Linked DNA regions of Rhinolophus ferrumequinum. The protein of the gene in region 2 purifies or fractionates together with the protein of the main gene of each other region. This does not show direct contact. Links are inferred from orthologs where the notes say so. Each region holds a gene or a part of one and is shown on either strand. Other genes may lie near its edges. The genes, in order: TGFBRAP1 and ACVR1.

Region 1 (12,516 bases), on a different chromosome or scaffold from region 2:
GTGCAGAGTACAGAGCTGAGGGAAATCATCAGGGGGAAGGGGAAGGGGCCAGAAAGGAGCACTCTCCAAGATGGCAGGACACCTTGCATTACTCCCCATATTGTTTTAGGCTGAACCTGAATGATGTTTAAGGGAGGAAAACTTAGAAGCCAGTTCAGGGGCCAGTTTTCTAGTGGTCCCAGTGAAGGGACTGACCTGATGCCTGGATTGGGATAGCCCAGAAGTCAGGTGGAGGACTCAGCTGGGTTCGGGCAGGTGTTCGCATCAGCCTGGCTCACGTCAGCTTATAATAAAATAGAAATGGTGTGGGCAGTTACTAAGAGACCTGCTGCCCAGTGTCCCACGTCTGTTTTTGCATCCCTGTGGCACTGAGCACAAACTCTGATCTTCCTGTCCTCCTCCCTGACACTGGCCCACCCCCACGCTCATCTTTCCTCTCTTGGCCACACTGTCACAGGTATCCAGCAGGACAGGTAGAGGTATGACGGGATGTATTTTTTTCATTTGGCCTATGCTATGTTCCTGACGAAATGAATAGCCCAATCACAGACTCAAAATTCTTTAGTGGGTGGGAAAAGGCAAACACTGCTAGCAAACGTTCTTTCATTGCAGCTACCTTTAGATGCTCTTTGTGCTAAATGAGCGAAAGAAAATGTTAATTGACGTCCTCTACAAAAATCGAACTGCTAAACACCTCCAATTCCTATAGGGGGCTTTACTGGCTCTCTGACACTCACCTTCACAGCCTGCAGAATTAACACACTCAATAAAACCCCGTCAGCATCTCAAACTTTAGTAAGCACCTAAAAGATGAATTTTGGTGGTTTGGGGGCCAATTAGCTCTCTTCTGAGGATATAAATTGACTGTAATTACAATCGACATCATCTCAAGATAAAAAAAAAAAAGTAAGAATTATCTTAGCGGCCCCTCTAAAGTCAGATGAGGTTTGATACGACTTTCAGGCTCCGTGGTCACAAACATTAATTTGAGTATGTGTGTTCAAGAAGGCGTGACATTTTTGTTTTTCCAGCTGCCGTTGGCGCCTCAGAAAAAGATCCTAAATCCTCAAGGTAACATAACAGAGTAATTAGGGGACTGGGCATGTGGAAACAACAGAGAAACTTAACAGGGAACAAGAGGACATTTATGTCGCAGGTCGCAGGGGGGTGGGAGACACTGGGAGGGAGAATTGCTTACTGGGGCCTGGGCACCAGCGAACTTCCTGAGAACCAGGGAAGTCTCATCCCTGTTGCTCCTGCTGCTTCAGGGGGACACAGAGTGGAGCCCAACATTAAACTCAAATGTAATCGAGTCATGTCACCACTGTGGTATTCTTGGGGAGAAAACAAAGTCACCACAACCCAATCATGAGAAAACGCCAAAGTACCCCAAACTGAGGGACATCTACAAAATCCCTGACTCTCCTCAAGAGTGTTAAGGTCATGAAAAAAGAGGAGAGACTGAGGAACTGTCACAGGTTAGAGACCCAGGAGACAGGACGACTAAATGCGATGTGGGGAAACTAGATCAGAAACAGGATTGTGGGACAGAAAGGACATTAGTGGGAAAACTGGTGAAATCGAATGCAGTCTGTAGTTTGGTTAACAGTACTGATACTCACTTACTAGTTCTGATCACTATACTATGGTCATACAAGATGTCAACGAAGGGGGAAGCTAAGTAAGGAGTTTATGCGAACTCTATCATTTTTCATCTCTTAATAAGCCCAAAGCTACTTCAAAAGTTAAAATACAAAGATCAATGTAATCACAGTTGTTGGTTTATTACCTTGCCTTAGTGTAATCTATCAGGAAAGGAGACATTCAGAATGATCTGAGTGTCAGTACCTGAAAGAGAGAAAATGGAATAGGCAATGACCAGCAGCCCAGCAGAATGCCCCTTAGGGCCTCGGGATGCTGGGGCCATTGCACCATCTTTTTTCTACAGTTACTTTTGGAGGTGATTTTTCTCAATTTAGTGTTCTAGCTTCAAATTATAGACATGAAAAATATGTACAAATTAAGTTTTTTCTCCTGAAAATGAATTTCCAAGAGGAGACTTTGGGACTTATGCTCATTGAAGACTTCTTACATAGACGAATTCAGATTGGGTTGGGGCACATGTAAGCTGACTCCTGCGGAGTCCAAACTCTGATATACCGCAAACGTCAGGAAAAGCAGGCAGGTGAGGGGCTCTGATGGCCAGCCGTAGGGCTTTGGGCAAGAGAAGCTAGGAAAGAGCAGAGGCGAGGCTCTGTAAATGCCCTCCCTCTCTCTGTCAGGCGCAAGGCCCCGGAGCTAACCTGGGCCACGCGGTGAACAGTGCTGAAGGCGGCATGGTGCAAAGCAGACCTTCTCAATATTGACCTGGGGATCCTGAGCTCTAGCGGCTTGGCCAACTGCTTCCGATCTGGGGCAAGTCACTTATAGCCTCTGGGCCCATCACCTCCTTGTGAAATAGGAATCGGGACTCGCCATGCTTCCCCTGTAGCATTTTCCAGCTCCTTTGGAGGACAGGGTAGTAATAACACTATGGTAGAGGAGCTAAGACTTCTGGAAGGCTCATTATGTGCCAGGCTCCACATTAAAAGCTCTCTTCACGCTCACAGCAAACCTATGAGGCGAGTAGTATCATAATTCCATTCTGCAAGGGAGGAAATGGAGGAAATAGAGGTTTCAAAAGGCTGAATGACCATGGAGAACTGAGATCCCAGCCCGGACAGCTTGTCTCAGGAGCACACGCCCTTAAGCACGGAGCCACCTGGCTGCCCAGGGACAGAGGCTGCTCCAAGTCTGGACGAAGGATGGGCACCCAGTGATTGTGGCCGATGCCTTGATGGCCGCCTTTCGAGAGCCCCTGAGCACTGGGTTTGGTGGGATACTGTGTACTTGACATAAATGATTTCCTTTCATTCTCACACTACTCTGAGAGGTGGACACACAGATTTTTGGTGGCTTACTCAAGGTTACAAAGCTACCAGGTGATGAAACAGAGACTCCAACCAGTTTCTGTTTTTGACTTCAAGGCCATATTCTTCCACTCTACTGACCGAAGGGGACAAGTGTGATTTCAGATGCTCTTAGAAGAAAGCGATGACTCTAAACAGGATACCACTGTGATATGAGTGTCCTGCTGTAACGCCTCCTAAGGGACTCTTGTTATCAGTAGGGCCCTGGCCTTCCCATACTGAGTCTAGAGAAGGCATCCTATTCTCCTCCCTCATACGTAGGTTTCTCTGTTTCCAAAATGGCTTGCCCCTGCCCTCTGCCCCCTACACAACCTTTGTCACAAATAAATGCTTCTCACCAAATGGGGTTCAGCGTCAGTACTGCCCTGCTAAATTTCAGATACAGAATGATACACTCACACACTTCTCCATTAACCTCGTAATTTTATCAGAACAGGATATATGTTTATGTGACACACGCTGTTCTTATGGAACCACACCCCATGCTGGTCCCAGGCTCTTCTCTAACTTCTCACAGCCATCTGCTCCATGGCTCAATCCTGAAATTTTCCAGGAATCCACAACCAATTTACTGACTTGTACCACAGACAGCTTGTCCCACTTTTGAAAATTAGGATGCTACCTGACAAACATTTAATGTTATCTTTCGCGCTCATGTGACAGAGGCAGCATTAGACAAGTTATAGCATAAGAAAACTGTTTCCACGACCTGAGAGAGTATGTTAAGAAAGAAGGAAAAAAATACAACTAAGGTATAACATCTAACTTGTCGTCTTGATATTATTCTGGTACATACCTAGATGTGACTAGTCATAGCTTTTATCCTTTCCCTGGGTAACACTATCTAGATTATCTAAATATATGTGTAAATATATATACATAAGTGTATACATATACACATCTACATGCATATAGTGTGTCTATCTATGTATATCATATACATCCTACAATAGTCACATCGACAGTCATCACGGAGGACAGGCTTTGGGAAGGGCAGGGAAAGGTGGCAGAGAAGCAGAGCGGGAGTATGAGTATCTAGGGCATTTCCTTTATGACATCTTCCTCAATACTGGACCTTTAAACAGCCACAAGGAATTATCCAGTGCCTACTGGATCCTAGGCAATTGTCCTTTCACATACATTGTTTTTCTTGAATCTTTAATTTACTCAACAGCAGCTACTTGACTATCAAGAAAAAAATCTTCGTTCCAAATCCCTTGCAAGACTTCACAAAGCACTCAGACTCATCTGGGATGGCCCCAGATGAAACTGTTACTTCTACATTCATTTAGTAGTTATGTTTTTTTTTCAATAAAGAAAAATGGGTCAGGTTTGCCACAGAGGAGATGAATTGTAAAGTATGGGCCAAATTATTTGGCAGTATCCAAACACCTGGCCCCCACAAATGACTAATGTATTTCTAATAAGAATTGGAATCAAAGATAAAGATGCTTAACTCATTAAATAAAATTTCCTCAAGTTTTCTTAAAGGATCACAAATGTTTAATATTAGCATGAAGAAATTAGCCATAATAACAACTTTTTTTTTTCCTAAACAGAAATGCTAGCTACAAATAAGGCCTAGAAAATTTAGCCTTTTTAAAACAGTGAGCTCTGTGTTGTTAAAACGTGTCAGCTGGAGCTGCATAACAGGAGAATGGGCCCTTACAAATCTGTCATAGGGGGTTAGGCAGAGGCTGAAGTGTCCTAGGAGCCTGCAGTGGTGGATAACACCCGCCACCTCCAACTCCAGGATCAGAGTTCTGCTGCTCAGGGTTGACGATGGAGGGGAAGAGGGGAAAAGGGGAAAAGGTATCACTCAATTTCTTAGTAAAATGTATACACTGTAACGCGTACAGCAAATTGGGATCAGGTCCCAAGAGGAGTCAAACCCCAGAGAGAAGTATTCATTGGGTTAACAATTACAGCTCACCATTGAACAACAACATGCGTTTGGACTGCGCAGGTCCACTAACACAGGGATTTTTTTCAATAAATACACACTCGGCCCTGTGTAAACCTGGGTTACAAATCCATGGATTCACCTAACTGTGGACAGAAAACAGTATTTTTGATGCGCAGGTGGGAAACCGCAGATAAGGAGGGCCGATCTTATGCACGGGTCTAAGCCCTTGTATATAAGGGACTTGAGGATCTGGTATCCGCGGGGGTCCTAGCACCAATCCCTGGCAGATACCCAGGGACGACTGACTGTAGTTAAGTTTTGGAGAAGTCAAAAAGCGGATTTTCAACTGAGTTGGGGAACACTGGTGGGGGCAGGATTTGAACCCACAATTCCATGCTCAGCACCATGGAGCAGCACTGCCCCCATTTCTTAGATGCACTGGGCCCTGGAAGGGCTAGTTCTAGACAGGCTCCCAGGGGATCCGGTCAGGGTTCTTTCTAGTGCTACACACCAAAGAGGCTGCCCCAATGACTGCGAGACTGCTTGGCTGGCAGAAATGGAAAGAAAAGGGAAGCAGCTGGCTAGATGTTTCTTCCTATCTGACCAGAGCGCTGGGAGCCCTCAGTTCTCCACCAGTTTCCGGCTGAGCACCAGAGAAGCGGGTCCAGAGGAGAGCGTAGTGGGCACCCACAGGCCCCTCCACGTGGTGAGTTCGGACTTCAGGTAAGCCCGCTCACGCTGCAAAGGCTCCTCACACACTTCTCTCAGTGCCTTCCGGCTGGGCCTTTCCTCCAGAAGACAGGCGCCTGCCCACCAGCACTTCACCATGGATTAAACCCCGCTCTGACATGTTTTGACCCCAGCACCCCATACAGTCATTTGCATTAAGAAGCACTGTGTGAATCCCCATTTCCAGCAGCCAGACAGCCCCCAGAACAGCCTGGGGGGCTTTGTGAGGGTTGCTCAACAGTCCATGGGTGGAAGCAATGATAGGTGCAGACAACTGGAGGCGACAAAGGACAGCTTCTGTCTTTAGAGTCATCCCCATATAACACAGAGGGAGGCAAACTGGAAACCCAACTTGCACCTGCCCCAACAAAAGGCCAGGAAAAGGCAAATCGCAGGGGGTGGCAGCTCCGGGCCCTGCTGAAGGGGGCTGTGAACCGGCCGGTCTCTGCCCTCCTCAACACACCCTGCATAGTCTCCCAGTTCAGGGCAACAAGTCAGGCCCGAACGCGACCCGAAATTTGAGCTCTCAAATCCCAACAGCTCCAGGAAACATCAATTACAGCGACAAAACCGTTCCATACAAGGGGTGGAAGGGCAAGGGACACAAGGGTGTAGTCTTCCCTGCTCTTCTTCCCTCCAGAAAACTAAACGCCTACCTCAATTCAAGGACGAGGTCTCTGATCCTCCCCTGCCCGAAACACACGCCCACTCCGCACCCACTCTCTCCTCCACGCCACAACGACCACACCGCGGATCCCGGGCTCGGGCACACCTGCCCCAGTCCACACACATGTGCACACTCGTGCACCGACCCCCGACCCCCCCACACACTGGCACACCTGTCTTCGATTTGACAGGCACTCTGCCCCCCATTCCTGCCCGCACACACTAACCTGCCTGCTCACGACCCCCCAGGCACCCACTCGCTCGCCCTGCCCCCTCCACGGGGCCCCGCCCTCCAGCCCCCTTCTCCGCGCGCTCCTGCCGGCGCCCCGTGCCCCGGCAGCCCGCCGCCCTCCGCACTCACCCGCGCGGCGCAGCGCCGGCCTCTACCGTCGCGCCGGCCCTGCGGCCTGGGGCCCCCCGCCGCCCGCCGCCCGCTCCCGGCCGCGGCTCTTGGGCTGGTCCGGCTCCGCCGCCGCCGCCGTCGCTTCCCGTCACGTGGGGCGGCCGCCGGGCGCCGGGAGGGCGGGAGCGCGTTGGTCCCCGCGCCCCACGACCGTCGGGACGTCCCTAGGCTGCTAGAAACCACACTCCTGGCCCAGCGCCCAGTGGAGCATCCCTCTTAGCCTCAGTTTCCCTTAGACTAAGGGATCACAGTAGCGCCTGCCTCGTGGGGCGGTCGGATAAAGGAGTTAATTCCTGTAAAGGACTTAGAACGCTGACTGGCACAGGGTGGGTGCTCATGAAGTGTTAGCAATGATTGTTATTAGTGTATTTCCTCTTCCCCCACCGGCACGTAGAGCTTCATGAAAACACTGGCCTTGCATGATTTGCTCACCACTCCTATTTCTAACATCAAAACAGGCTGGATGTAGTGTAGGACCCAGGAAATAGCTGCTGAATGAATGAATCAACCAACCAACCAACCACCAATCAATCAGTCCTGGGAAATGCTTGACCAGGCTGCCATCTGACTGACAAAGTCTTGCTGGGGTGTTTCTTATGGCACTGAAATGTATTGTTGAGCAGCTAATCACTGACCAGCGGGGCCTAAAAGCCACATTTGCAGGGTACAGAGAACTGTACAAGATTAGTCACAGGTGACATCTACTGACTGCCTGACACTGGGCTAAGAGCCTTACAGCAATGATCCCATTTAAGCCTCTGTCCTTATGAAGTAGGCACTATTAATTTCTCCATTTTACAGATGAGTGACAGGCAAAAAGAAGTGAATGACTTATCCCAAATTCCCTGGTAGTAAGAACAGAGCAAAGAACCCAGAATTCAACAACACAGTGAATTTTTTATATAGATAAAATTAAGTTCTATTGATTGAAGTTTATGGAACATTTGTATTCTGCTTTAATCAATCTAGGAGTAAAAATGTATATTAACAAAAAAAGGGAAGAAAGATAATTTGGAAATAATAATTTCCTTTATGAAAGGATTTACCATAGGATTTTTAAGATGGCAAGCTCCACATGTGCACATTATCCTATCTAGAAACATTTGTTTTTCCTGGAACTTTCTGAGAGGTCTATTTCACATGTGAGAGGAACCTGTGTGTAATTATTCCATAAGCGTGGGAATATTTGCCCCACGGCTAATTCTAAATTCCTTATGTTGTTTTGATTGATTATATTTAAGAAGAAATATCAAAGTCATATGTTTTTCAAAGTTGTTCACTTTTTTTTTTTTTTAAGATTTTATTGGGGAAGGGGAACAGGACTTTATTGGGGAACAGTGTGTACTTCCAGGACTTTTTTCCAAGTCAAGTTGTGGTCCTTTCAATGTTAGTTGTGGAGGGTGCCGCTCAGCTTCAAGTTGTTGTCCTTTGAGTCTTAGTTGTGGAGGGTGCAGCTCAGCTCCAGGTCCAGTTGCCATTTTCTAGTTGCAGGGGGTGCAGCCCATCATCTCTATCGGGAATCCAACAAGCAACCTTGTGGTTGAGAGGATGCGCGCCAACCGAGCCACACCTGGGAGCTCAGTGGCAGCTCAGCTCAAGGTGCTGTGTTCAATCTTAGTTGCAGGGGGTGCTGCCCACCATCCCTTGTGGGACTCGAGGAATTGAAGCGGCAACCTTGTGGTTGAGAGCCCACTGGCCCATGTGGGAATCGAACTGGCAGCCTTTGGAGTTAGGAGCACGGAGCTCCAACGGCCTGAGCCACCGGGCCAGCCTCAAAGTTGTTAACTTTTAAACATTTATTAAATATTCCTTGGGTCCATATTAAGCATGTCAAAAGTATCTTATAGAATATAAAAAAGATGTATTCTAATAGATTAATGAAGATTGAATAGATACAACCGAATGCTTTATAGTGGCCATCTACTCCCCAAACTTAACATCCTCACACTTACACATACTCACACTTAAAGTTCCTCACTGGTTGTAGGCTCTTAAGGACGAATGTGTCTATCTTGTTCTCGCAATGTCTATCTGCACGTAGGAAGCACTCAACCAATTTTTCAAATTCCTGATACTTAATATTAATAAACTGTTATCTTTAAAAAAGGCTTTTAATGCTAAGATTCTGTTACTTTATAAGTTCTCTTGTTAAAAGTGACATCTAATTTGGGTATCATTTTAGAAGATGAGATTAAACAAAGGTTACATTTATTATTTTTAGCAAACATAGCTTAATATGGGCCATGTTTTAAGAGCTCTTATATGTATTCTCATTTAATGATATATACACATATATTCATAGACTTGTAATCTAGATTCAGTAAAATATACTTTTTAAACTGTTAATCAAATAAAATATTTCTTGAAGAGCTCCTAGGTACCAGGTCCTATGGTAGAAGCTGCTGGGGATACTAAAACAAGGACACAGGCCCTGCCCTCAAGCAGCTTACTTCAGTTCAGTGGTGCGACTACCAACGTCACCTTGGAACTTGTTAGAAATGCAAATCCCCCTGCCCACACTCCACATTTCCTAAGTCAGAAACTTGGGGGTGGGGCCCAGCACACTGTTTGTTTACAAGCTCTCCAGGTGACTTTAAGTTAAAGCTCACTCAGTTTTGAGAACCACTGATTTAGTGGGGTATGTGGAAGAACTACCCCCCAACCAGATCCTAGGTGACAGGAGAGACCTCAGTTAGGAAGTGCTTGAGGATCTGGAAAGGTTTATTCATATTCATTCAGCACACACTTACTGTTCTTATACTGTGTACCAGGCACTGTGCTGGGTGCTGAGAACGCAAAGATGTAAGAGACAGTTTAAAGGAACTCATGAAACAAGTGTCCTATGAGATGGGTTTTACAAGAAAGCCAGTAGGGAGTTTGTCTGTGAATGCATCTTTATGATGATCTGATTGTAAAAAGAATGAGAAAGGACAATAATAAAAAATATAATCAATTATTATTATGGTAGTTATTTGAAACTCAAAGCAGAACTGTGGCTCCAAATAGCTAAAAACACAGGTCTAAAATGTGAAATATTTTTTAAATTATTACATTCACTTTGAAGCTCTTTGAATTATGCTCAGATATATTTTTGACATTTGTAACAAGTACCTTAAATATTACACTAAGAAAGAGGAATCAACAACACTCAAAGTTCTCAGTATACATTTTATGATTCGTTCAAAAACATTTATTAAGTACCTACTAAGTGCAAGCACTGTGCATGCCAGTGACCAGGTGGGAGATTCAAGGGAAATATATGGCCCTGTCCTGGGGGAACTCCTAACCTAATGAGGTGATGATGCCAGGCAAGGCTGTCTGCTGGTTTCCCTCAGCTTCGTTCTTGTCAACTATAGGTACCAAATAAACACGTTAACGAATAAAACCCCACGATCTTTGAGTGAAGGGAAAACTCTCAGACTGAACTTAAAAATTTATGGTTACTGTATAACACTCACAGATAATAAACTTCCATCTACAACTGAAGTGTGTAACAAATAGAAGTTTTGTTTTCTGTGAGCATTATTTCTATTTTAAGACCCCACTTGGCTGCAGTAACAATAATCTTATCAACGGAGGCCCGCCCCCTTCCTCAGGGCTGTGTCTAGGTTCCGCAACCTCTGAAGTGCCACAATGAGAAGCGGGAGACATCAGATCTTTGCACCACTGGTCCCCAGAAGGATTCTAAGATGTTCTTTGTCCACTCTGGTGTGGGTTTTCAGTCTTTTGGTCTCAGTGCTGACGGGCCTGGCCCTTCCAATCATAGTAACTAGCCTGGCTTGAGGGTCGAGGACGTCTGTGGCTGCCTATGATGTGGCAGGAATCTCTGTGAGGTGGCCCTTCTACCTAGACATATTTGAAACAGCACTTCAGAACTTGTTAGAAATGCAAATTCTACCGCCCACCCCAAATTCCTACCTCAGAAATGCTGATTAGAATACAGTTAACAGACTGCAACTACCCTGAGGCTGCACTCGCCAAAGCTCCGCTCAGAGTGGAATTAAGGGGACAGGCGTTCCCAAAGTATCTCCCTCTCTCGGCGCCGAAGGGGGATTAGAATCTTAATCTACTTCCTCCTCTCTGAATCTTGATGTTTTTGCTTTTTTCCTGCCTCGTAGGGATACTCCCTCTATACAGAGGTTTTAGCTTCAGGGGCACCTAGAATTATCTTAATGGATTTAGTTTTAAACTGGGAACTACAGGGAGAAAAAAAAAGCACAGATCTTAGCTGCCACAGAACATTTTTGCTGATGAAGAGCTTGAGGTTTCAGGTTAGGTGACTGGTCCAGGAAACTACAAGTAGAAAGAACACAGCGAGGAGCTGTAACCACAGTTTCAGACTGTTACACTCAAAGTGTTTTTTCCCACCTCCACCACCATCCTGCCACTTCTGTCCTTTGATGACAGTCAAAGGCCACAGCAAATCTCCAGCTAGAGGCAACAGAGGAGGCACTTTTCATACTTCGGCTGCAACCTCCCAACACTGGGAGGTGGTGGTGTCATTTCCATTGTACAGGTGAGGAAGCTGAGGGGAGACGTGAAGTATTTCTAAAATCAGCTACCGGCTGAGCACCTACTCTGTGCTAAATGCAGTTGGCAGAAGAATCCTTTGGTAATTCTTCACGGAAGGTGTCAGCAGAGCATTTTTCTGGTAAGACTGAGGCTGAGAGTCCTGAGTAACTCACACAAGGTCTTGATATAGCAGAACAAAATCTGAACCGAGGTCTAGCTTTCCCCGACTTCTTGCAAGGCAGTTGCTTTTGCCACTAAAACCATGTGCCTTTTGGTGAAGGACATGGGGACAACGTAATACCAGTCACACTGATTTCACTCTTGTCGTGAAAATCATCTTGGATATGAAACACTATGATGCTAATACCATGAAGTTAATACACTTAACTCTAAATAAGGGCATCCAAATGCCACCTCAGCTCAGTTCTACAACTCTGTTCCACTTTGGACAAGTCATTTAATTTTCTTCCGATTAACTTCCTCAGCACTAAAATGGAAGAACTGAACTGAGTAACTTTTAAGTTTCTGCCCGGGTCTGAAATTTCTAGATAAAGTATCATATACATAAATGATAAAGAAAAATTGCAAAACACTTTTCAACTTTATCGCTTTTTTTAATTTAGCATCTCACTTATTTTCCAATTCTCTTTGTAAGTGCAGAGAAAATGTTCTTGAATGTCAACCTTGCTACTTCCGATGATCTTGAGCAAATTACCCTAATGCCTCAGTTTCCTCACCTGAAAAACAAGCGTTTTAGTAATACACGCCTCATAGGGCCATTCTGAGGAATGAGGTAATCCATATAAAATGCATTACCTGGCACACAGTGAATGTGTAACAAACGTCTGGCCGTTGTCAGCGGCGTTCTGTCTGTTTTCATACGTGAAGTGAATACGTAGTATTATTTCAGGCAACAAATACTTGAGTGCCTACCACGTGCGAGGCACTGAGAACTCAAGCCTCTGGCCTTACATCATATTAAAGGAAGATTAAGAAACAAACGATAAATAGGTTAAAAAAAGGAGACCCAGACGGGATCAGACACGGCGAGTGCCATATTCAGGGTAATGTGGATCAGTCTTCCCCGCCTCTTGGCCGCGAGGCTGCCCCGAGACCCGCTTTGGCCTCTGCCGTCACGTCACAGGAGGCGCGCCCGATCGTGGCCGGCTCCGGGAACGTCGCTGTTTCCCTCTCTTCCTGCCAGACTTGAAATGCCACTCGTTCCCTCCGCACACACCCCTTGCACTTCTTTCGCCCTGGGAAGCATTCCTTGACGAAAGCCAGCTCGACCTCCCCCAGCCGGTCGCGCAAGGTAAAGAAGAGGCGCGGCG
Region 2 (12,817 bases):
AAGAAGGCATTTTTGTACCAGGAAACCCAATTCAAGTCCTCATTTCCAGGAATAAAGCCATAGTGCCCAATACTTGCTTTGGGAAAATAAAACAGGAGACTATGTGAACTCCAATTAAAATCTCTGATGGCTTTATTTCCCAGTCTCACCAGTTTAATGCTGTCAACGTTTTACCCAGACACTGCTTTAACTGAAAAACCAACTTCTGGGGCTGAATGGTCATACTTAGCACTAGGTCAAAACGAAAGCATTTTAACACTTCATGACAGCATTCTTTGCCTCATCCGGAGCATAAGATGCGTAAGGCAAGGTGATGCTGAGAAGTGCCAGTTCTCCCAAAACCGCAGTCAGGAGAAACCACGCAGAAGCTCATGCTATTATTTTAGTCACAATACAGGTATGCCCCACTTTTCCAAAAGTTCATGTTATGCCACTTTGCTTTTATGAAAGATCTACATTAGTACCTATTTTCACTACCTGGAAAAAAAATTGGAAGAGGATTTGCGCTTTTACCAAAGAAGCCGAAAGGAAAATATGTATTTGCTTTGCAAGGATCCTTACAGAGGCAGCAGGTACCCTGAGCAGTGAAAGTTGGACCCACAAGCTTCTTTCCCAGAAACCACACTCAGCATCTCAGCGTCAAGCTGCCATAGCTTTCATCTGTGTCTGTGAGCCCCTGTGCTTTATCTCGATTTATTCTGTGCATTCCTGCTTTTAGTATACATTGTTATTTTAGTTCTCATATGTTACTTGCTATGATTTAGTAGGTTATTTTTTGGGGTCTGAGAATGCTCAAAATTTTTTTTCATGTAAATTAATAGTAATTGATTTTTTGCTTTATGTGATCTCAGCTTACAAAAGGTTCCATTGGAATGCTTTACTTCCAGATAGCTGAGAAAACCTGTACAGGAAATGAGCATGGAAGCAGGAGAAAAGAGAGGAGGGGATGCACCTCGATCTTATTTCGGATATGACAACAATCAGCTTTGCTTTAAAATGATCACCTGGGGTCCTGTCAATCAGCCATTCGTTCTGTGTGTATCACCAATACTGTATATCTCCCTACCTCCTCCCATCAATGCGTGCCCACGCGCTCACACACACGCGCACACATACACACTCCCCAGATAATCATTATCCTGAATTTGGGGTTTCCCTAGAAGTATGACTGCATCTTTATAATTACCTCCTCTTCCTAACAAGTGAGTTAGGAATATGGCAGTAATACAGTTTTCTCTGAAAAGATATCTTTAAGTTTTGTTTTCCAAAAAGGTGAATTGTCGCTTTAAAACAAAAAACATAATTAATAGACAAAGTGACACTTAGCTAAGGTAAACTCATGAATACACTGTAAGAATGAATAAAATTGAGCAAACACTGGCGAAAGTAGAGAGTCCCACAAAATCCTGGTTCAAGTCCCGGCTCCACTATTCATTAGATCTACAACTTTTTCTTCACTTAATTTTGCCAAGCCTCAATTTCTTATTGTAAAAGAGTGAAATAATAACAAAACATATGACTGTTGTGAAAATGTCATGGAAAAGTGCATGTAAAGAGCGGAGCACTGTGCCTGGTTTACTTCTCTCTAATTGCTAACAAGTTGCACGTTGATCTCTTCACATAAAAATCAACATGCAGGGATCCAACAGCAGAACAAGCACAGAGGGCTGTTCGGAGGTCCCAGCACCTCTTTGCCTAAAGGACAGTACAGCTACGCGCATTGATTCCGTCTTCCCATCGTGACCTTGAATAGCAGGATCATTTTTCAAATCCATTTCTGCCCCTTCCTCCCTCCCCCAGTAAGGCTCGCCTACTCAAGCCAACCTTACCTAGAAGCCTATCATGACCGTCACAGAACTAGTTCAGTGCAACCTAGGGTAAGGTAGAGGCATAGTCTCTATTTACTGATTCAACACTGTTATCTGTTCCATGGACAGACGCAAAAATTTAGGAAATCACAACTTTGGGAAAAAAAGTCATCACAATGCTATTAATGAAATTAAGCTCCTCACTTCTGAAATTACAGGCATACCTGGTTGGATTGTGTGTCACTTTATTGTGTTTCACAGGTGTTTCGTTTTTTACAAATTGAAGGCAAGACCCTTCAGCAAAAATATTACTATGACTCACTTTGTTGCAATACCCGCTTTATCTCACTTTATCTCGGTGGTCTGGAACTGAATTTGCAATACCTCCAACTTATGCCTATAATTACAATCCTAAATGTAGCATACTCCTCCATCTTTACTCCACTTCCTTACTATTCTCTTAAAATTATTACTTAGAGATAACAAGAAGCTTCTTTGGATTCAAATGATCACTCTCTAACAAAGTACAAAAGTTGTAAAACTACTACCTAAATCAAGTTTTATTTAAAAACACTCTCTACATTTCAAGTAAAACTCACCCATAGTGCTGGAAAAGGAAAGCAGGAACCCGGTCTATACCCATCCCAGCCCTTGATTTTTGCCCTGTCTCCAAAGTTTACTGCAACATCATTCATCACCTTTGAGTATTTGCATGAGGGGTGACAGTACAAATGCTGTTATCCAACACACAATTCCATCAGTTTAAGGCCTACATATTTCAGCTTTAAAAGACTTCCTTTTTTTAATTCCAGGACAGAAAACAGAAACAAATGAATCACAAAAAAGTGATTTGGTCTTGGGGGCGTCAGGGATGGCTCAGTTCGTTTAGAGCATGAGCTCTCAACAAGGTTGCCAGTTCAATTCCAGCATGGGATGATGGGCTGTGACCCTGCAACTAAAGATTGAAAACAGCGACTGAGCTGAGCTGCACCCTCCACAACTAGAGTGAAGGACAAGACTTGAAGCTGATGGACCCTGTTTGGAGCTGATGGATCCTGGAGAAACACGCTGCTCCCCAATATTCCCCAATAAAAAAAAAAAAAAAAAAAAACAGACAGACATAGCTTTAAAAAAAAGAGTTAATGTAAGAGAGGACTGAGTTTAAAAAAAAAAAAAGTGATTTGATCTTAAAAGCTGGGTGATCCAAGTCCTGTCTAGACCTAAAGTAACTTCCTGACCCCAATGTCCCCATCAGTGAAATGTGTGAGGCCCGTATTTCATACTTAAGCATACTGTAAAGCTGGACGGCAAACCCAGTGTCTGAGGTCAGCACAAGTCTAGTGTCCGCTGGCTGCCCAAGCCCGGGCCCCTGGCCAGCCACCCACCTCCAGAGACAAGTGCCAGGACATACTATAGTGCTTCCATTTAAGGCCCGCCACTTAGATCAGCCCATCTCTGAAATTTCTTAACACCATCTTTCCAGGAAGAATTTTTCTGGGAGAAAAGGGAGGTGGTGTCTATTTTTTGCCACCGCCTTCCCTGGGCTGTCAGAGCAGTGAACAGGGACAGGGTTCTTTAAAACCACTGGGTTGTGTCTATGTCTCAATTGGAGGTCTCTTTTCAAAAATATACAAAATATGTATGAGGTCAATCATTTTTCTCATCATCTAACTCCCATCACACACACCTCAAAAAAAAAAAAAAAAAGCCCGAAAAAAATAATCAATCCATTGTATTACTTTGCTACCTCTCTCCAAAAGCTAAATTAAGCACAACTTTTTAACCCAAGGCTTTTCTTCTGCTACTAAGTGGAATGTTATCTTCCCTAAGTAGCTTCCTCTATAGCTTCTCTCCTATGCAAGAAGTATTCAAAACTCCAGGGAAAAGGGAGGGGGGAGACATATAGTGCACAAAGTGGACAGAGCTGAGCCCGTCTAGAACCCAACAGAAGGTGGTGAATAGGGCAGCCCCAGAGACCCACATCTCTCCCCAGCGCACCCAGGGTTCTAGCCTCACTGTTTTTGTTACAGTGTTGAAGGAAGGGTTTTAAACTTGGCAAAGTACCGTGCAACATCTGTAACCACATTTGCCTTCTGGGGATCGGAAGATGAATCCCACATTCCTGGCTTTGAAGCTTTTTGAAACTGCAGCTAGGAAGAACGGAGAGGGAGGGAGGGAGTTGAGCAGAGTTTATTGGCTGTCTCTCCAGCAGAAAATTCCTTTTGGAAGCGACGGATATTTTGAGGGTGGGGGTGTTTCGCCCATCTCTTTACTCCCTACCAAGCTCAGCTAGGAAGGTGAGACCCGTGGTCGGGCGGCCAGATCGATTTACAAGTCAGAGGCGCACAGACTGAAGGAGTTCAACACACACACACACACACACACACACACACACACACACCAAACCAGAGACCCCCCCCCCCCCCCGCCAACACTCCATGCCTCTGCCCTCTCCCATAGCCCACCAGCAGTTCAGGCCCAACGCAAGACAGTTTTGTTCCGCGGCTGCTTCCCCCACCGAGAGGGGATCGAGCTTGGGGGAGAAAGGAATGAAAGCGAAGGGGAGGCACCGCAGACGCCCACCCTCCCACCCCCAATCCCAGCCTCTTCTCCCGTTAGGCTCCCTCCTCCCTCGATCCACCCGGCTCCGGCAGGCTCGGCCGGCGACCTGCCCTCACCTCTGGTCCCGCCGCGGTCGGGGGCTGAGCCGGGGGAGGCGGAGTGCGAGCCAGCCGGGCGCTGCAGGTCGGCGCGGCACCGGGCGGGCGGCCCCGGCGGGCGCGGGGCGGGGCGCTGCAGCCGGCGGGGGAGCCCGGAACTCTGCGGGGCCAAGGGCCGGCGGCCGGCCCCGAGAGGAGGCTGCAGCGGAGCGGAGCGGTGCGCGGGGCCAGGCGCTTTCCAGTCCGCGGGCCGGCACGGCTGGCCGAGGAGCAGCCCGGCAGCGGCGGCAGCAGCAGCGGCAGCCACCCCGGGGAAAGAGCCGAGGGAGGGAGGGGAGGCGGGGTGAAGAGGCGGAGGAGGAGAAGGAAGGGGAGGAGGGCGGGCGGAATAAACTTCCCGAAGCGCCGCGGCACGGGCAGGGAGGACGGCCGCGGGCGGGGCGGGCCGGCGGGTGGGGGCTTGCCCTGGGGGCGTTGGGGGAGACGACCACAGAGAGTAGAAAAGTTCCCCCAGCGCGGAGGGGGAGGTTGCTGCGGCGGCGGCGGCTGCAAAAAGCAGGAGCCGGAGCGGGAGGAGCGGGAGGAGGAGGAGAAGGAAGTGGCTGCGGAGCGATCGGCCAATGAGTGTCTGGAGCTGTGATTAACCAGGCAGCAACACATCATTTCCTCCCGGCGCAGATCCAGGGAGCCGGGAGGGAAGGGGAAGGCAGCGGGGCGGGGCGGTCCCCGCGCCCCCTGCAGGCGCCCGGCCGGTGGCGAGCTCGCGGAGTCCCGCCGAGCCTGACCTCGTCGCCCCCGGCGCGCCCCCGCGCTGTTTGGCGGGGCCGGAGGAGGCGGCGAGCGCGCCGCCCGCGGGTCTCCTCGGAGGCGGCGGGGCAGGCCCCAGCCGGGCTCCCGCGACCGGGGTGGGAGGAGGAGAGGCGTCGCGGCGCGGGTGAGTGCCCAGGTAGGCGCGGGCGGGGCCGTCTGGACAGCTCCCGGGGTGAGCGGGCGGGAGGTTCTGGCTGCCTCCCGGCCCCGGGACTGCGGGAGGCGCGCGGCTGGACTCCTGCTTGTTAGACTTAGGCTGGATTCTCAGAGAGAAGCCTCGGCATTCACATCCAGGCCATTTCTGACCTGCCTTCAAATCCCCTTCCACTTATTTCCTCGCAAGGTCGGATTATGCTGGAGCTTGCCATTTCTCAGTCGGCCTCCTTAGTAATAAAAATATGCGGGTTGGTGAGGGGAGGAGGCTTCTGCAGTAGTCTAGCCCGGTCCTAGGCGCCATGGGAGCTTACAGTGGAAAGGAAGAAACATTCCCCGCCACAGAGAGGCTGACAACCTCGGTCCTTAGATACACGAAAACACTCCAGTGTGCTAATATTATCCAGAGCATCAAAAAGGCATGCAAGGATCAAATTTTGCATGGTGCCTGCTGAGTGTAAGGAAAGCACTAAACCATTTTCTCTGCCCTCTAGAAGCTTATGCACAGTCCTATCACAAAGCAAAATACAAGCATGAAAGCCATAAATGGGAATACCATAAAGTATTTTTATCTCTACAGGTTCATTTATGCAGCAGGCATTTATTGGGTGACTGCAGTACTGCAAAAGATTGCAAAGGAAATGGAAGATCTGGGCCCTGCAGGTCAGGAATTTACAATCTAATGAGGAACACAAAACATACATAGATGAAACAGCTAGAAAATAATCCCCAGGTATTACAGAAGCAAGAAGATGGAGAAGGCTGGGTGCTTTATTATTTTTTTAAAGGGGAAGGGCTTTGTTCCTATATAATTGATGGAGATCTGGAGAGGAAATTCCAGGTCAGATAAAGCAAGAGTGCCTATATGTAGTCTTGCTCTTTAGAAGAATATAACAGGGATATCAGTGTGATTTGGTTGAAGTGTCAGCCGTGGCCACTTAGAAACTGTGTGACCTTGAGCCCATTTTTAACCTCTGGAAGAAGGGAATAGAGCCTGTCTCATGAAGTTTGTTGTGCAGTTCAAATGAGATTAGACACATGTGGACGCTTTTCAAGCTGCTGTGTAAATGTTCCTAAGTCCTGTACATTTACGGAGTCCTCATTTTACTGGCCCTTTGTTGGTAACCTTCTCTTCTAGTCTGTAAGCCCCATGAGGGCAGGGACCAGGTTTGGCTGTGTTCACAATGTATCACACCTAGCAGAGTAGCACATGTGGGTACTCAATAAAGGTTTGCTGAATAAGTGAATAAATGAACTAATGAATCCTGTTGTCCTTTTAACTGTTCCTTCAGTAGTGGTTCCTTCTTGTGTGACTGGTTCAATGCAAAAAAACCTTCTGATTTTTCCTGTGACTAATTTGTATTTCAGGAGATTATCTGGGAGGATTCTGGGTAGTTCTTGTAGACTTGTAACATTGATCGGTTGATTTTCTGTGTGTGTGTGTGTGTGTGTGTGCGCGCGTGTGTGTGTAGAGCAGGATGATACACAAGGATACAGCCCTCCGCACAAGCCCTGTCCACCCAAGGATACACCCCAAATGCAGTTCTTTGGCTTAGACACCTTAATCCAGGGTTTCTCAACCTGTGTACTATTGACATCTTTATATGGTAGGATAATTGTGTTGGGGTGCTTTCTGGTACGTTGTAAATATCTTTGTATCATCCTTGACCTCTATCCAGTAGATGCAAGTGGGACGCCTTCCTTCTACAGCTGTGACCACTAAAAATGTCTCTAGACATTGCCAAATGTTTCCTAGGGGGCAGAATCGCCCCCTGTTGAGAGCCACTGCCTTACCCCACATCTAATCCATTGATTTAACTCTGGTGGAAAACAGACCAGTAAAGTAACTTGGACGAAATACATCTTCTGTTATTCTAAGATTCTCAGCTCTCCTCCATCGTATGTTTCAAGGAGCACGACTCTAGTTAATTAACTGCCTGCTGCATTGTGAATTGGCATCTCCTGATTTCTGCATATCGTCCTCCTTTATGCCCAGATCAACATGTTCATTTCTAAAAGTCAACAGCTTTCAAAAACTATTAGGAAACAGGGTCTTGAGCAACCTGAGAGTCCTGTACAGTATTTTCCTATAAAATTTGGGGAATTTATTTCATAAAATTTTGCAGCAAGCTTTCTCATTACAGTTAAGCTCTTCGACTTAAACAATAACCACAGCCTCTCTGCACTCAGATGTGATACAGAATATAAATTGTAATTTTTAGAACTGATTTCATTTAAAATAATTGAAGTACGTAACTAAAGTGAGTGACTTCTTTTATCTTGAAGCCATTATTTTGGTTCTAGAGAGAGCTTTTATAGTGTTATAAGGGAACATGGTTTATTAAAAACCTATAAAGCGAAAATCAGCTTAGTTATACATACTAACTTCCAGCAGCAAATTCTTTAGAAGAATATTGGGGTGTTTGAGAGCTGGTGGTATTGATGAGACTCCTGACAGATTAATGTGCTACAGTTCAATTTCTAAAGATTTCTTGAAGAAAAATAAAGAATAATGGTTAAAGTAATGAGCAAATGTTAATAAGTCTGTTCATTTAGTATGGGCACATAGAACCAAAAATAAACCCTGCTCCTATCAGGCAACAGTACCAAGGTTTCTGACGTGAGCAGACATTGGTGTTCAGCAAAACAATATCTGTCTCGTTAAATAAAGTTATTTGAAACACTAGGTTTATAGTTTTGTTCATATTCAATTTTTCTATAGTTTTCTAATGGTTTCAAGCATATAGAGATTGGTTTACATCTAGTTTAGTGATTTTTCACATTGAAGTTGAACGTTGAAGACTAGAAACAGCGTAGAAAAAGGGCAAAGTTTGAGGGTTGGATGTGGCTTATGGTAAAGTGATTCTCCTATTTCTATTTTGTTAGACTGGAACTAGGACACATACTCTTAGGGGATCTCCAAGTTCTTTATGAAATCCATGAAATTTGTGCTTTGGCTTCAGTTACAGTATTTTTTAAACAAATTAATAAATTAACTATGATACATATTCATGATACTATGATACTAGATCATCTGAATGTCTACCATGCAAACGATTTCGCTATCCTTTTTGGCTATGTACCTGTAAGAACATGCAGCTTATTCAAATAATAATTGCAATAAAAATAATTTAAAGTATCAATAAAGGTCCATGAAGATTCTGTTTTTCCTTTTAAAGCTGTCTATACATTATTCAAGCATGAGAAATACTGACCCAGCTGCATCATAACTATTCTTGGAGAATGATGAATTCAATGTCCTTGACATCTGAAATTTAGTCCTAATCCTGAAGCCCATAAAAAAAAAAAAAAACCAGTACTGTGTTCCAAAGATCTAAGTGAATGGATCAGAATACTAGGGGATGGAAGAGAAAAATCAACCTGAAAGGGTCACTACAAATCCTATCAGGCCTGGCTCCCTTTTCCCCAAAAGGTAAACATTTAACCAGTCAGGACAGACACTTATTAATCTTCCAGTTAAACTTTCCCAGGTGTATGAAAGACTCATTAATTGTTCATTTCATACAAGACTTTATTGGCTGTCTACCATATTCAAGGAACTGTTGGAGCTACACGGGGAGTCCTCAAACAGCCCTACAGTTATTTCCCACTTGGGAAAGTTAATACAGTCACCTCCTGGCACAGCAGGTTACATGCAAACCAGTGTGTGGCTATGGGCCAACCATGTGATAAAAGAGACATCACAAAACCATTACAGAAAGGAAAGATTATTCATTCAAACGATGTTGAAGCACTTGGGGAAAATCCTGTTAGTGCTTCCTCTCATACCATTTCTGAAAATATTTCCAGAAGGAATAAAGAGTTAACATTGTTTTAAATGACAAATTAAAGCAAATATAGTCAGATAATATGTTTGGATTGAAAAGGACTTTCTAAATTAAAGCTATATAAGAAATAGATTGGTAGGCTTAACCATGGAAAAATTTTTCCCTAAATTTTTTTTTAAGTAATCAGAAGAAGGAAAAAGCAGAGTAGTGAAACTACTTACAACATATACTCAAAAGGTTCAAGTCTTTAATAGATTAAACAAAACAAAAAATTCTTACAAATCAACCAAATGCAGCCTTTAATAGCAAGTTGGGCAGATGTCATGAATGGACAAAGACAAAAATTACCATGACCATCAGGAAAAAATTTTACTCTAAAAATTGAAGAAAAGGTAATGCAAACCAAACAGATGAAATATTTCACACAATTTGTTAGCAATTGAGCATATTCTCTACTGGTAAGACTGACTTTATAAATGACAGTTATAGAGAATGTAAACTGGGAAATGATTTCTTGAAGAAAATTAAGTAACATATATCAAATGCCTTAAAAAATATTTATACCTTTTGACACTTTAATCCCATTTCAGGAATTTATGCTGTGAAAATAATCATCAATGGCACAAAGATTTGTATAAAAGGGTAATCATCGTCTAGTAATTTTGGAAATGCCAACAATAAAGCGTAAGTTGAAAAAAATAAAATACAAAGGTAGTATTCCAATTCCAGAACCCTTATAAGCACATGAATCCCTCACACTCACATGTACACAAAGAGAAAAGACTAGAAGAAAATATTCCAGGATGTGCAGTGTTATCTTTGGATCATGGATATGGTTGACTTTTATTTTCTTCTGTACACATGTCTGTGTGTTCAAACTTTTCTATAACGTATTACTTGTATAAGCAGAAATAATAACAATTATAAAAACAGAAATGCACATATTTCAAAAGGGTCTGATAATCATAGAGCAACACCTAACTGGTGAGGAATGTATGTGGATTTATATTTGTGAAGTGGGAGGCAGGATGCAGAGAATGTAATTCGAATCTCGTGTTTTCTTGCTCTGCTGGTAGATCAGACTTAGTGCCTTCTCTCATTCTTTGATTGCATCTTTGTGACCTTTGGTGACCATTTCCTTGTAACCTTGAGGGCTAGATGCTCATCAGGCCTGTCCGTGGTCTTGCTCATGTTCTGAAGCTGCTTAAGTTTCTAATTTACTTAACTAAAGCTGATTTAGCTACACTGTGGAGATGTGGATTTTTAAAAGCTAGTCCCTGGATGAATGCCCTCAGCTGATCAAATTAATTTCTTCCTCAAATTAAACAAATATACTTCAGATATAATCTTGGTAGAATCCAGTATCTCCGTGGCTTTTCATTTTTAGGGAACATTGTTTTGCCTGATTGGTCCCTCTGAACACTGGCATCATGAAGACATGTTCATGGATAAGAAATCAAATTAATTTCCCAAGTCCTTGTGTGGCCCCATTCTACCAATATCTAAAATCCAAAGGCTGCCTCTTTATTAACCTACTTTTGTTTAATGAAACTCCAGAGAGCTAGCTGCTAAGGTTAATTACATGTAGCAGAAAACTTAGGCTGTGTAACCTTCAGCAGGTGACTTCAGGTTATAGAGCCTAGGTACTCCTCAGGTGTAAAGTGAGGGATGAGCTGCATTTCAGAGGTCTCTCAGTTTTGAAATTCCGTGACTTGAGTTGCAATTCCTCAAAAGCCTATTGTCTGAAGTTGCCTATACTATGTTTGACATTTCTGCAGACAAGGAAGGAGCTTAAGATACTTAGGAAGTGACGGAAGGCCAGCATGACTGGAGAAAAAGTAGCATGTGGCAAAATGTCCATAGAGAAGGATGGAGGTGCCCTGGCCCAATCATGCAGGTCTCACAAGGGAAGTAATTAAAAGTGTTTAAGCAAGAAGGCAGGTAGTGAGTGAAAAGTTTGCTTAACATCACTTATCATTACACCCAAGACATCTATATCCCTTTGTTAACAAGATTTTTCCCTATAATTATTTTGTTTAAAAAAAAAAATACAAGAACAAAAGGATATACTGTGTAGTGAAACGGAAGTTCCAGAACCACCAGTCTCCCAGCCACCCAGTTCCCTCTCCTTAATGCCAGCTGCTGTGTATCCTTACAGAAATATTGTAAACATATGAAAGTACACGTGGATTCGCTTTTGCTTTAGCACAGATAGTAGCAGGCTATACACACTCTATCCTTTGCTTTTTAAAAAAAAATCAACAGCATATCTTGAAGATTACCAGTTCTTATGAATAGTCTTTGTTATTACAACAAAGTTATTATATCCAAAGTTTTACTACTGTTATTGAGTCCCCACTCAGAGAAGCATAAACTCACAGAACTCTAAATTTGGAAGGGACCAAAATCTCATGTCGTCCCAGCCCTGCCTTTTACATGTGAAAAACTTTGTCCTTGAAAGATCGCGTCATTTCTCAAGGTCTCCGAGCTGGTTAAGATGAGACTGGATCTGGTTTTCCTAATCACCCTCCAGTCCCATTATATTTTCTGATTATAAACTTATACATGGTGTAATTAAAAATATTTTTAAACAATATGCATGGTATGATCTGATTTTTATTCTTGAAACAAGTGTGTATGAGGTACAGAAATGAGTTTGGAAGGCTACACACCATGATGCTCGTAGTGGTAATCTTGGGACGGGGGCAGTGCTGTGATCTTTATACTCTTTTCTTTTTTATAGCAACTTTATTGAGATATAATTCACATAGCATACAATTCACTCATTTAAAGTGTCCAATTCAGTGGTGTTTAGTATATTCAGAGATGTGCAACTAACACTACAATCAATTTTAAAACATTTTCATCCCTCCCTCAAAACAACCCTGTACACATTAGCAGTCTCTCACCAGATTTATACTTTGTATTCTTAGGTTGCGTTTTGTTAAAGTTTTGCAGTAATTGTTACTTTTATAAAAAATATGTAAATAAATTGGAATTAAACCAATATTCACTATAAAATAAATACATAGAGGAAATAGAGAAATGTATTTCAAAGAAGATAAAATCACAATGTTACTATTTCCAGTGTAAGTAGGCATACTTTGGATTATGTTCTCTTGTCTTTTCTATGCATTTTTATATATATAAATCCACAGTTTTCTCTTACTCTTCTTAATTATATTGTGAGCATTTTCAGAGCATTAGAGAGTCTGTGAGAGTATGAATTTTTGACTGATTTAAACCTATGGATATACCACAACTTTTAACAGCATCTCATTATATTTCCTTGGGATAGATTCCTAAAAGTCATAATCTATATCATATTTCCAATTGCTAGGTAATTTAAACTTTTTCCAGTGGCTTGTCTATCTCACCACACCGTTTACTATCTTTATCACCTACCCTCTATTATCCTTGCCAATGTAAAAATGTAAAAACTTCTGTTTTAATTTACATTTATTTGATTGCTGAGGTTGTACCTTAATCCTAAATATATCAACTCTTGTATTTTTCTAATTTTCTTTTCAGTTAATGACCTTTATCTCTTTTCCATTAGGATGTTAGTGTTATTTTTATTGATAAAAGTATAACAAGC

The links.
Region 1: the proteins of ACVR1 (region 2) and TGFBRAP1 purify together in Homo sapiens (co-immunoprecipitation; 3 studies listed by BioGRID and IntAct, counting the BioPlex papers as one, with this or other methods). This does not show direct contact. The link is inferred for Rhinolophus ferrumequinum from reciprocal best matches to the Homo sapiens genes ACVR1 and TGFBRAP1.

The regions. Positions count from the first base shown.
Region 1 is NC_046296.1:12,887-25,402, reverse strand, and holds the start of TGFBRAP1 (transforming growth factor-beta receptor-associated protein 1), read right to left. Parts: upstream 6,745-12,516; 5' UTR 6,632-6,744; intron 1-6,631. UniProt on the Homo sapiens protein: Plays a role in the TGF-beta/activin signaling pathway. It associates with inactive heteromeric TGF-beta and activin receptor complexes, mainly through the type II receptor, and is released upon activation of signaling.
Region 2 is NC_046291.1:63,994,365-64,007,181, reverse strand, and holds the start of ACVR1 (activin receptor type-1), read right to left. Parts: upstream 5,001-12,817; 5' UTR 4,487-5,000; intron 1-4,486. UniProt on the Homo sapiens protein: Bone morphogenetic protein (BMP) type I receptor that is involved in a wide variety of biological processes, including bone, heart, cartilage, nervous, and reproductive system development and regulation.